Neurospora crassa OR74A: one gene and its partners. The protein of the gene in region 3 interacts with the protein of the main gene of each other region in a pairwise test. Links are inferred from orthologs where the notes say so. Each region holds a gene or a part of one and is shown on either strand. Other genes may lie near its edges. The genes, in order: NCU04439, NCU06418 and NCU08668.

Region 1 (4,248 bases), about 810 kb from region 3:
TGTATTCTACACGAAGGGAGCATAGTGGCATGGGACCGACCCTTTTGTCAAAATACGTGGTTTAGGTATCATAACAAGTCTAAAACTATCGCAAAATACGTATGTAAACATCCATGATTGGATGACGAACCCCGATATCTCTCCTTTTCCCACACCAACACCAACATTGAAAACCAACTCATCAATCCTCCAACAAGCCAGCGGCCAAAGCCTCCAAATCCTGCAAGTTATCCGGCTCATGATCCATCTCAATGACCTTCCTGCCGCCCTCCATCTTAGCCTTCTTCCTCCTCGGCCTGCCGTCATCGCTATACTCCGTATCCGAGTCATCCTTCTGGAACCACTTCTTAGCCTTCTTCTTAGGCGGTTCCCTATCGTCCTCGCTCTCGTCACCGCTGTCACCGCCCTTGCCAGCAACAGGCAAACTTCTGAGCAAAGCCAAAGGATCCTCCTCCACATCGCTGTGCGCGTCCAGCAGCGCCGGCTGCAGGGGACCCTTCTCCCTCTCGACCTCCTCTCCCCTCTCCCTTGCCTTGGCGCGCTCCCTCTTCTCCTTCCTCCGCTGCTTGGCCAGCAGCTTGTCTTCGACATCCTGCTCCTTGACCTTGGTGGCTTCGCTCTCGACGAACTTCTGCCTGAGCTCCTTGGCGTCGCCCTCCTTCTGGAAGTCCTCCTCGTCTTGCAGCTGGTAGAGCGGGTGGGCGTTTCCTTCGTCGTCAAACACAAGCTTCTGGCCCTTCTCCATGTACTTGAGCAGCTTCTTCTTGGACTTGAGCAGCTTCTCGCGACGGTGCGAGTCGATGACCAACTCGGCGTTCTTGCCCAGCTTGACCACCTTGGCCGTGCCGTCGGGGTTGGTGCCGGACTTGGCATTGCCGGCGGCGTCGTCGAGGGCGGCATCGTCGTCCAGCACGCGCTTGACCGAGAGGAAGTCGTCTTCCTCGTTGTCTTCTGCCTGATCTTCTCCGAGAAGCTTGCGGTAATGCGTCGACAAGACGTCCTGGTTTTGACGCTCGGCCATCTTGTCGTACTTTGTCCTGACCTCCTTCTTCTTCTTGCGGATCTCGCCGTCCGAGCCTTCGGTGTCGGACCCGCTGGACATGGCGGCGCGCGAGGCATTCTTGAGCTTCTTGACGTCCTCGCCCTTCTGGTATCTGATCTGTGGAGTACCTGGGAGACCCAGGCTGGAAGCAAAACCGTCGAGGTCGAGTTTGTCGAACTTGAACACCTCCTTATCCTTTTGCAGGTAAATCGAACGGACGTACGAGACGAAAGCCTTCTGTCCGAGGTATTTGAGATCGGGTGACTGGAAACACTGTGACTGTAGTTCGTTCTTGATGCTCTTCTTCTTGTTTTCTTTGACGTTCACTTTCTGGACGGTCACCTTCTTGTGCTCGAGACGCTTAAGGAAACCCTCTTCTTCGCTGGGGTCGAGGAACAAGACGGCGCGGCCCTTGCTCTCGTAACGCGCCGTTCTGCCGACGCGATGGATGTAGGTGTCGGCATCTTCAGGGCAATCGACCTGGATGACCCAGTCAACGGCGGGGAAATCGACACCTCTGGCCACGACATCGGTGGCGAAGAGGCAGGAGTATTTCGCGGACGTGAACCGGTTCGTGATCTCGAGACGTGCTATTTGTTTTTGGCGACCATGCAAATGTAGTAGTGGAATACCGGGCTGCATCCGCTTAAAACTTTCGTAGACGAATCTGACCTGCTTGCCGGAGGACATAAACACAATAATCTTGCTCTTGAGGTTCGTTCGTAGGAAGCCCCATAGCGTGTCGAGCTTCTCAGGGAGAGGTGTGACGATGTAATGCTGTTGGAGGCCGACGGGGGTCGCCGATGCTGCGGCTTCGTGAACAGAGACGTATTCGGGGTCCTTCAAGCTCAACCGGGCAAGGTCCGAGACACGCTTGCTTTGTGTGGCGCTAAACAGCAGGGTCTGCCTGCTCTTGGGAAGATGCTCAACAAGAGCGTCAACGGCCTGTTGGAAACCCATGTCCATGATGCGGTCGGCCTCATCAAGCACGAGCATCTGGAGGTTGTCGACATCGAAGCCGGCCGTTTGGTCGAGATGCTGCAGCATACGGCCAGGTGTGCAGACGAGGATATTCATGCGCCCAAGACGCTCCGCCTCCTCCTTCAAGCTCTTTCCACCAATGACCAAGCCTGCCGAAAAGCTGTGGTTGCGACCAATCTTCCTGAGAACTTCAAATATTTGGACGGCCAATTCACGGGTCGGGCTGATAATGAGGGCACCGAGACCGTCGTACTCAGTCCATCGTGCACGGTATAGCTTCTCGAGGACGGGAACAAGGAAGGCGAGGGTCTTGCCGCTACCTGTCCTAGCAGCGCCGAGGATATCTTGCCCTTTGAGCGCGAGAGGGATGGCGGCGCGTTGGACATCGGTTAGGACCTCGAAATGGGATGCGCGTAGTCCAGAGGCGGTAGGTTCGCAAAGGGGAAGGTCCGAGAACTTGTTGAGTTCGGTGGATTTGGGGTCCTAGTAGATTGAGACACAATATTTAGAAGCGTGTGCGGTTGTATGGTGAGAAACGGGGGTTCAGTACTAGGACTTACAAGTTCGTCGATTCTCTTCTGAAGCGCCTCGAGGTTCTCCAACTCTCTTTTCCTCTTCAACGTCTTGTGTTCGGCCTTGTTGGCTTTGGACCTCTCCTTCTCGGCTTTGCCCTTGCCACCGCGGCCTTTGGGGCCTCCTGGAGCCATTGTGTTTGTATCGTCTGAACGTGCTGGAAATTGGGCGTGGTGGGTTCGACGAAGTTCCAAAGGTCGGGTCTGCTAGTCGAGCGAATCCAATTGCCTGCGGGTCGTCGCTGGTGGCCTTTCAGTTCGATGCGAATGGGAAAACTTTTGGCGGAGAGCAATTCTGCCAGCTCGACCCACCTCATCCACTGTAAGCGAGGGGATCTGCAGCAGGGGTCTCGGACTCGCGGCCAGCTCAGACCAGGGTTAGGGTCATACGAGCAGACAGACGACCATCGAGTTGTCAGCCCCCAGTGACATTCTCAAGTCGTTGCTATGGTTCATGATGGGTTGGATGGGCAGTTGTACGGGGCTGAAGTAGAAAATTCACAGTAGCTTTTGCATCGAACCAAATTCGAATTGTAGTGGTTTTATCTCAGCGCCCACAACTTCAGCAATCTACATGTTTCACTTAGAACAGCAACATTCGAACATCAACACCGTGCCTGAGCAATGAAAAGAGCCAAACTATCATGAAAGCATAATGTATTGAACCACGAAAAAAATGAGCTTGAAGACGGGTATCGCTCGCTCACATGATTCCTTCGTAGGTAGACACCCGCAATAAAACCAACCCACTAGACCCACCCATATGTACGTTTCCCAAAGTTGAAAGCGATAAAAAAAAAAAAAAGGACCAAAACGCCTTGCCCCATTCCCAATTTCCTTGCTTTTCCCTTCAATACGTATTCGGTAGCTCAAGATCCGTCGCCCAGATACCCATTATCAATCCTGTTATTCCTCGCCCTCGTACTCTAATTCCTCCCCAAACAGTTTCAGGCGGTAAATGCATGTATGATCCAGGGCTCCATGGTTCGTCTTGGCTCTGACGACCACCTTGTACGTCGCCGCATCCAGATCGAGCAACTCCTCCGACAGCTTGTGGACAAACATGCCGTGGCTACCGCTGGTCTTGGCATAGTCGTACTCCAGCTCGCCGATCTTGACGTATTTTCTGTTGATGAGGGACAGCGATTTTTTGTTGTTTGCGTCGACCATCTTCATGTCAGCTTCGCGCTCGCCAGGGTACAACTCGTCCATCCAAGCCAGGAGTCGCTTGTTGTCGTCCGCGTCCGGATAGTATCCCCAAATCTCAATGTCTTTGGGCATGGACCCAGGGTCATTCGTCGCGTTCGGATGGACGTGCTCAACGACGATGGCTTGGGGAATGACATGTTTGGCCATCTCCACGGCGAGCTCGGCCCCCCTGCTGGCTGAGATGCCAGCGCACCAGCACTGGCCAACGTCGTTCCAGGCAGAGAGCGCCAGCATGTATTCTGCTTCCAGGGTGACCTTATCCTTGCTCGAAATGGGCTTCGGCTTGCCGAGCAGTTTGCTGAGGTGCTTGTTGCCTGGCAGTGCTTGCGACTCAAGTCGGTATACGGGGGATGATTCCGACAAGACGATACCAGCTTCATTGCCCAGGCCGAAATGATTGACTTGAGTTTCAACGTAGTCGTGGTAGTTGCGCATGATGCCGTC
Region 2 (4,203 bases), on a different chromosome or scaffold from region 3:
GTCTCGCCTTGTCGTTCTAACCACAATACACCACCAGGGGGGACATCGGCATCGTCAACGGGTTCTGCAAACTCTGTTCTCTCAGTGTGCTTGGCCAAAGAGGCACAGAAAGGATTGTCTACGTCGTTGAGAGACACTGTGCCTCGCAGTTCACTGTGAGTGAGCGGCGTTTCAGAAGAGACAGCCTGGAGAATCTACAGCATGATCAGCTCAGGCCTTCAAGGTTAACTTCACCATCTTGGGGAGCCAACCAGGTGGATGAAACATGCTTGCTTTGATCAACACAATTGTTTACACTTGAAGCAGGTGATAAGTTATAGATGACAATGAAGGACCTCAGCATATGCGAATCGAGATGAATATGAGGTATATCATCAAGCCATACGAAGCATGATCATGCCATGTAAACAAAACACTTTTACCTCCTTTCATTGCTCGATATTATCATGTTGATACCTTGTTCTGGCCTATTTGCCTGCTTATTCGATGGGGGCATTTGGGGACCAAATCGGTAGGCCACTGTGCCAGTAAAGTACCACAACGTCAACATGGCCCATCATGTTCATCGAAATGCCCGAGTTGGGTAAGGGCCGATAGCCCATGCATCGCCGGGGCAAGCTCGCGTGTGCCCTACCGCGGGTTCCACTCCAGACTTGGCCCGTTTAGCGGCGGCCATGAGGATCCGTAGTCTTGGGATCATCGTCAACGACTGTCCTTCTGTGGCACTAAATCATAACACAAGAAGGGGGCCCGTTGAAGGACATGATCTCATCTGTCGTAGTTCGTCCGAGCATCAAGACAACGAACGAGCTGCATCCTTGAGGTGCTGTCTTTCAGCCGACCGAACAAGCTGCTTTCCCTTCTGTTATCGATACTTATACTCCTTGTGTAGACCTTGTTCGGAAACCGTGCAGTCAGCATAACACCACCAGAAGCTGGACATTGCAGTGCTTTTCCGACATGAACCTTGATCCTAGACTGCTCATGCTTCTTGGCTCATTCCCAAACAAGAAGAAGCTCTCCTATTTTTTGCATTCTTCCAAGCGCCCAGAAGTCGCACTATGGAGATCAAACCAACGGTTTCTTCGTATTCCATGAGATGGAATGTGGAAACGAACAACCCCGTCCAAAACTTAAGCGCCGATGGGTTTGGTGGCTGACGCTTGTTATGCGACGTTGGCGGTTCGCCGGCGCTTCGGCTTGCGTTTCAAGGTACACTGGTGGGTCTTGCTGTGATGCTACCCTAGGGGCAGGCCCAGGCTTGCTTGCTTGCGGTCCGTGTGCGGACGTCGGGTCTTGGCGATCTGTACATATTAAAAGTTCGTGAATGGAAGGACGATGGGTATATAAGTGAGAATGAAACTCTAAGGATATGGGCACTTTATCACGATACACAGCGGTTCATACCCTCATGGTATCGTTCTGCGAAAGACATGTACATAAGGAGATGGAGGACGGCTTGGTGAGGCTCTAGACCGTTGAAGTGTTTCTGAAGCACCGAGGCACCCCCATAAAGTCCAAAATGCCACGCTTACGTAATGACGCTCAATGTGACATTTTTACAAGCACGCTTTCCCTTTTCGGTCACTCCCGAGAACCTTGCTGAACCAAAAATTTTGAATTTTGTAGCGGTCGCAAGTCGTTATCAGTTTATCGACTGATAATCAACACCACAGGAACACACATCGAATCTGCTAGAGGCGCCCATCACGGTCCTGGAACGAATGCGAAGAGACATCTCGCACCAAACATAAACATCCGTCTAGACCTTTTGATTCCAACTCCCGCAAATAAGGAGCAAACCAACAATGCCGTCTGCCACAGCCGCAAAGGCCAAAAAGGCCAATGCCAATGCCAACCTCAAATCCAAGGTTAACAAGGCGCCCGCCGTCACTGAGATTGATGAACAATCTGGTCACTCTGAGGATGAGTCCGACTTTGGGTCTGAACTAGATGTGGAGGATGAGTCGGCTGCCTCAGATGAAGAGGACGAGGATGAGGACGAGGATGAACACGATTTAGAGGAGGGCGTCTCAGACGAAGGGGAGGGCGTCTCAGACGAAGAGGAGGGCGTCTCAGATGAAGATGAGGACGAGGAGAACCAGAGCGCCGGATCAGGCTCAGACTCAGATTCCGATTCGCTAGACAGTGACGCCCCCAGAAAACGACGCCGTACCTCACCTACCATCGACGACATCGTTACTCAACTTGAAGACGAGGAAGAGGATGACACGCCTGTCGCCCCCGTCAAGCCTGTCTTCAATAACGTCCCATCCCGCATCAAGAAAAAGCAAGCTGAGGCGCCCAAGACAGAAAAGACCGAAGAGGCAACACCAGCCCTACCAGTACCAGAGCCTGCCAGCACAGTTTCTGTTCCTATCGACGCCAACACCACCTTTGACGCACTCAATGTCCGCCCATGGCTGGTCCAGTCTCTCGCCAACATGGCCATCAAGCGGCCAACCGGCATTCAAAAGGGTTGTATACCCGAGATTCTCAAGGGCAGGGACTGTATTGGTGGCAGTAGGACAGGTTCGGGTAAGACGGTAGCATTTGCCGTTCCCATTCTCCAGCAATGGGCTGCCAACCCATCCGCCATCTTTGGTGTCATCCTCACGCCCACCCGGTAAGTCCACTCCGAGTACCCCTTAACCCCCACAAACAATCAAACAATAGGTAGAGGCTAACCACTTCCACAGCGAACTCGCCCTCCAAATCATGGAGCAAGTCATCGCCCTCTCTCAGCCCCACGTCCTCAAAGCCGTCCTCATCACCGGCGGCGCCGACATGCGCAAACAAGCCATTGACCTCGCCAAGCGTCCTCACCTCGTCATTGCCACCCCCGGCCGTCTCGCCGACCACATCCGCACCTCTGGCGAGGACACCATCTGCGGTCTTCGCCGCGTCAAGTTCATTGTGCTCGACGAAGCCGACCGCTTGCTCGCCAACAGTGGCCACGGCTCCATGCTCCCCGACGTCGAAGAATGCTTCTCCGTCCTCCCTCCTCCTTCCGAGCGCCAAACGCTTCTCTTCACCGCCACCATGACGCCCGAAGTCAAGGCCCTTTCCGAGCGCCCGCCCATTCCCGGCCGCGCCCCCGTCTTTGTGTGCGAAGTCGACACCCAGCGGCTCGCCATCCCCGCCACCCTGCGCCAGATGCACCTCCAGGTGCCGGTCACCCACCGCGAGCACTACCTGCACATGTTCCTGCTGACCCCGCAAAACGTGGACAAGAGCGTCATCATCTTCTGCAACCGCACCAGCACGGCCGACTTTTTGCACCACTTGTTGCGCTTGCTCGACCACCGCGTTACCTCTCTGCACTCCAAGTTGCCGCAGAGCCAGAGAATCGACAACCTCGGTCGGTTCCGCGCCTCGGCTGCGCGCATTCTGGTGGCGACCGACGTGGCGGCCAGAGGTCTCGATATCCCCGAGGTGAAGATTGTGATCAACTACGACATCCCCCGCGATCCGGACGATTATATTCATCGTGTTGGTCGTACGGCGCGTGCGGGCCGCAAGGGTGATGCGGTGACGTTTGTGGGGCAGAGGGATGTCGATCTGGTGCTGGCGATCGAGCAGAGAGTTGGACGGCAGATGGAGGCATGGACGGAGGAGGGCGTCAACTTGGAGACGAGAGTGATCAGGGATGCGCTGAAGGTGGTGGGCGAGAAGAAGAGGGAGGCCTTGTTGGAGATTGAGGAGCAGAAGGAGGTGGGCGGAAAGAGGAAGAGGGGGAAGGAGAAGTTGAGGGCCATGTAAGCTGTCCTGTTGATGATAAGAATAGGGAGGAGAGGGGGAGCCGAAGTGGAGGAGGTAATGAAGGGAAAGGGGGTAGTGAATGATCTGATACCAAAAATATGTGTTGGGGTAGGGTGATAGATAAAATATTGAATAAGGGATTGAAAGAGATAAAAGCGATGCCAAGCTATTTTTCATATCTTGTGCCCATGGGGACTATGGCCCGGCTTCTACAAATTATGTCTTCGGTGAGTTTGACTCCTCAAAAGGATGAGCCACGGCCATCATTGATCCTTGTTTTCAGGTTGGAACAAATGCGAGGACATCCGGAGGATGATTCACCGAGCGGAGGTATGCATTTTGAAAGAGATTGCTTCATATCGCACTCCATTTCCTCACACATCATTGATTTCAAAGGCCAGCCCTCCGTCGTGTATATACATCTCATAATACCTATTCACA
Region 3 (3,400 bases):
GAGGATGTGCTACTCGAAAACCACCTGGGTGAAGATGTGGTCATTTCCAGGCTCTCATCCTGAGACGAGCCACGCCCAGCACAGCAACTAGGTTTCAAAAGGTATATATGTTCCCACAGGGTACAGCCATCCTCGACCGTTTGAATACATGCATGGAAGAACTTGTGCATCTGATCTTCACTCAAATAACGACAAGAGCGGTCTTGGCGGATATGCCCGATGATATAGTTTGACCAGGACGTATATTGGAGTATGGTGTCCAGGCGACGTTTTGAGAAATGTTCGCAACCTTCCTCATCTACGTCAAGCATACGCTGGATGAGTCCTTGAAGTATGCGAAGGGCGTAAGTCGGGTGAGTCGTTAAATATGATCCCCTTTTGACAGCATTTGCGACAGGACAATTGGTGAAGTTGTATCGAGTGTTGACCGTATCGTCAGGGGCACTCTTCCTCGTGGCTGGGATTTGGAATGTGCTCATGGTGGGCCAATTAAACCAAACGCCGGCCGGTTTCTGTGCAGCGTCGATAAGTAGGGATATGACAAAGTGACGGAAATGGAGATGCTCTCATAGCAAAAGGAAATCAGGTTGGGTATCAAGATGACTGAAGGCAGAAAAATATATACAATTGCCTAAGGGAAAGAAAATCAACACCACCCATCTCTAATGTCTCGGAGTCGCTTTGACGACAGAAATCCCACAGGTACATGAACGCTCCGTGTCTCAAACCTATTGTTCGGGGGCCAAACGAGAAGGTTAAAAGATCTTGCTGAGCACTCTTTGTACTTGCTCGGGCTGTGTCTCATCGAGCTTCCTCTTCTTGGCCAAGGGTATTTGCTTGAATGTTCTCCTCTTATCGTCGTTTGTTGTCGTCGTCGTCGTTGCCGCCGCCGAGGGAATAGTAGATTCTGTGACTTGGGCGGCACCCTCACCGCCCGCTTTGCTGCCCTTGGACGCCTTCTTTGCCTGAATGCCCTGCAGCACCTTGGCCCTCTCCACGTTGCGGACGAACTCCTTGTTTTCTTTGGTTGTCTTGGAGATTTCGGCGCGCATTCTGCTGGATCGCTCGGCGTTCTCAGCAGCGATTTGTTCGGTCAGGTTGTGCCACTTGAAACCCTTGAGGTAGAGCAAGTTCCAGATATCGTCGCGGTAGTAGGATCCCTTCTTGCCTCCGATTGGACGGGCATTGAGGAGTTCGCATGCCTTTTTGGCGTCTGCAAACAAACGGGTTTTCTTGTTAGCGTCTTTGTACTTGGGTCTCAGCGAGTCTCACGGAATGAAGACCTACCCTTCTTCTTGACAAACTCAATCCAGCCTTCTGTAAACATCTTCTTTTTATTGCCTCCGCTGCGAATGCGCTTGCGTCGCGCAACTGGGTCCTCGGGGGCCAGGAAAATGCGATTCAACTTTCCGTACGGCTCCAGCAGGGAGCGCAACTTGGCAGGAGTCATGAAAGGTGGTACCCTGGAGATGTACACCACTCCCGACTTCTTGATGGCCTCCTCCGTGACGATGAGATTCTTCTTTGTGAGAGGCTTCGTCATGCCCGGAAGGTCACTCGCTAGTACCGACTTCTTCTCCTTCTCCTTCTTTCCATCCTTCTTTTCCTTTCCATCTGTTGTTTCCTGGCCGTCCTTTGCAGGTGCATCCTTGCTTTCAGCATCATCTTGGTCGTGTTCCTCCTCTGCGTCGGTAAAGTCGTCGGCTTCGCTGTCCTCGTCATCGCTCACTCTTCTGCGCTTGGCGTTACGGCCACCCTTTTGGAAATCATCCTCCGAGTCAGAACCGTGGCCCGCATCGTCGTCGCTATCGCCAGCATCGAGGAACTTGTTTCTGACATCGTCCTCCGGCATTGTCGATGGATGATTGACTTGTGTTTCTAATTGGTGGACTTTTTGTTGTATGCTGAAAGTTTCGTAGGTTGAATGATTGGGTCGTTATGGGGAGATTTAGGGCAGTCGGGTGTTTGTTTGCGTTGGAGAAGGATCACGACGCGATTCGCAAGTCTTCTTTTGGCGTGGAAGCGCTGGACGGACATGGCTGCTGCTGTTTCTCAAAATTTCTGGCTCCACTGGGGGCCACAGGCAGGAAGGGACCGTGCACGCAGGGCCGATAAGAGATAACAAAGTATGAATGGGAATGGAAGTTCAGGTTGGCTGATCCCGTCCCCGCCTTAGGTTCCTTCCGAGGTGGAGTTCATACACTGCAGACCCGACCCCGCGCTGCCAACAACTCTTTATCTTATCAAAGCTCCCCCGGCCTGCCGCCGAGAAACGGAGCGGGAGCCACTCTGTGTGCGGCAGTGTGATGTCGTGTTCCTGTTTGTTAGTGAGACGGCGACGGGAGGGGCGACATGGTGTCATTGGGTCATGGGAATCAAGTCGGTTTGCTCTTTTCTTCTTGTGGAAGGTATAACGAATTATAGTACTAAGTACTAGAGTAACTGAACTGTGTCTTTTCTTTCCCTTTGACTCGCTCTTCCTCCTTGTGACAACCAACACTGCATCCCACTTCACCATCCTTATCACTCGATACCTGGCCGATAAGCCTACTTGTAACAATGTCGGTCGAGGTGATCACCACCATCTCTCCCACCACGGGGGAACCCATCATCACTCGCAATGGCATTTCAGAGGAGGAACTCGTCCAACTGCCCGAGACTGCCTTCAAGGCCTTCCAAGGATGGCGCACTACCAAGTTGGAGGACAGACAGATCATCGTCAAGAAGGCCTTGAAGTTGCTGGCCGAGAAGCAGGATGAACTTGCAGAGGAACTCACCGTCCAGATGGGCCGCCCCATTGCTTATACTGCCAAGGAGGTTGCCACTGCCATCAAGCGCTCAGAGTATCTGCTCAAGATCAGCAACGATGCTCTGAAGGACACCGATGGCGAGGAGGAGAAGGGATTCAAGAGGTTCATCCGAAAGGTGCCTGTTGGTCCTGTTCTCATCATCTTTGCTTGGAACGTAAGTGGTGTCCATCATGTTGTTTTGACACTCCATCCGTCACCTCTAACTTTGCGCAGTACCCCTATCTTATTCTCGTCAACGCCTTGATTCCCGCTTTATTGTCTGGAAATTCGGTCATTCTCAAGCCCTCGCCTCAGACACCCACAATTGTCGAGCAGGTGGCCAAGGTGTTTTCCGAGGCTGGGTTGCCCGACGGAGTCATCCAGTACTTCCACTCGGGTTCGCCGACAGTGATTGAAACAATTGTGCGAAACCCCAAGATTGCCAACATTTGCTTTACCGGCTCGGTTGCTGGTGGCCTGGCCGTCCAGAAGGCCGCGTCCGATCGCATCGTCAACGTCGGCCTCGAGCTGGGTGGCAAGGATCCTGCATATGTTCGCGGTGATGTCGATATTGCCTGGGCTGCCGAAGAGATTGTCGACGGCGCAGTTTT

Evidence for each region.
Region 1: the proteins of NCU08668 (region 3) and NCU04439 interact in binary tests that used the Saccharomyces cerevisiae proteins (3 or more experiments, as listed by UniProt). The link is inferred for Neurospora crassa OR74A from reciprocal best matches to the Saccharomyces cerevisiae genes ESF2 and HCA4.
Region 2: the proteins of NCU08668 (region 3) and NCU06418 interact in binary tests that used the Saccharomyces cerevisiae proteins (3 or more experiments, as listed by UniProt). The link is inferred for Neurospora crassa OR74A from reciprocal best matches to the Saccharomyces cerevisiae genes ESF2 and DBP8.

What each region holds. Positions count from the first base shown.
Region 1 is NC_026504.1:3,354,605-3,358,852, reverse strand, and holds NCU04439 (ATP-dependent RNA helicase dbp-4), read right to left. Parts: upstream 2,852-4,248; 5' UTR 2,731-2,851; coding exon 2,584-2,730; intron 2,507-2,583; coding exon 182-2,506; 3' UTR 47-181; downstream 1-46. Other genes in the region: NCU04440 (hypothetical protein), read right to left, coding at 3,502-4,248. UniProt on the Saccharomyces cerevisiae protein: ATP-dependent RNA helicase required for ribosome biogenesis. Involved in the release of U14 snoRNA in pre-ribosomal complexes. Required for pre-rRNA cleavage at site A2.
Region 2 is NC_026503.1:1,328,354-1,332,556, reverse strand, and holds NCU06418 (ATP-dependent RNA helicase dbp-8), read left to right. Parts: upstream 1-1,374; 5' UTR 1,375-1,808; coding exon 1,809-2,626; intron 2,627-2,699; coding exon 2,700-3,762; 3' UTR 3,763-3,939; downstream 3,940-4,203. UniProt on the Saccharomyces cerevisiae protein: ATP-binding RNA helicase involved in 40S ribosomal subunit biogenesis and is required for the normal formation of 18S rRNAs through pre-rRNA processing at A0, A1 and A2 sites. Required for vegetative growth.
Region 3 is NC_026504.1:4,159,939-4,163,338, reverse strand, and holds NCU08668 (pre-rRNA-processing protein esf-2), read right to left. Parts: upstream 2,027-3,400; 5' UTR 1,853-2,026; coding exon 1,288-1,852; intron 1,214-1,287; coding exon 756-1,213; 3' UTR 571-755; downstream 1-570. Other genes in the region: NCU08669 (betaine aldehyde dehydrogenase 2), read left to right, coding at 2,560-2,964, 3,024-3,400. UniProt on the Saccharomyces cerevisiae protein: Involved in the small subunit (SSU) processome assembly and function, and in the 18S rRNA synthesis. Required for the early cleavages at sites A0, A1 and A2. Stimulates DBP8 RNA helicase ATPase activity.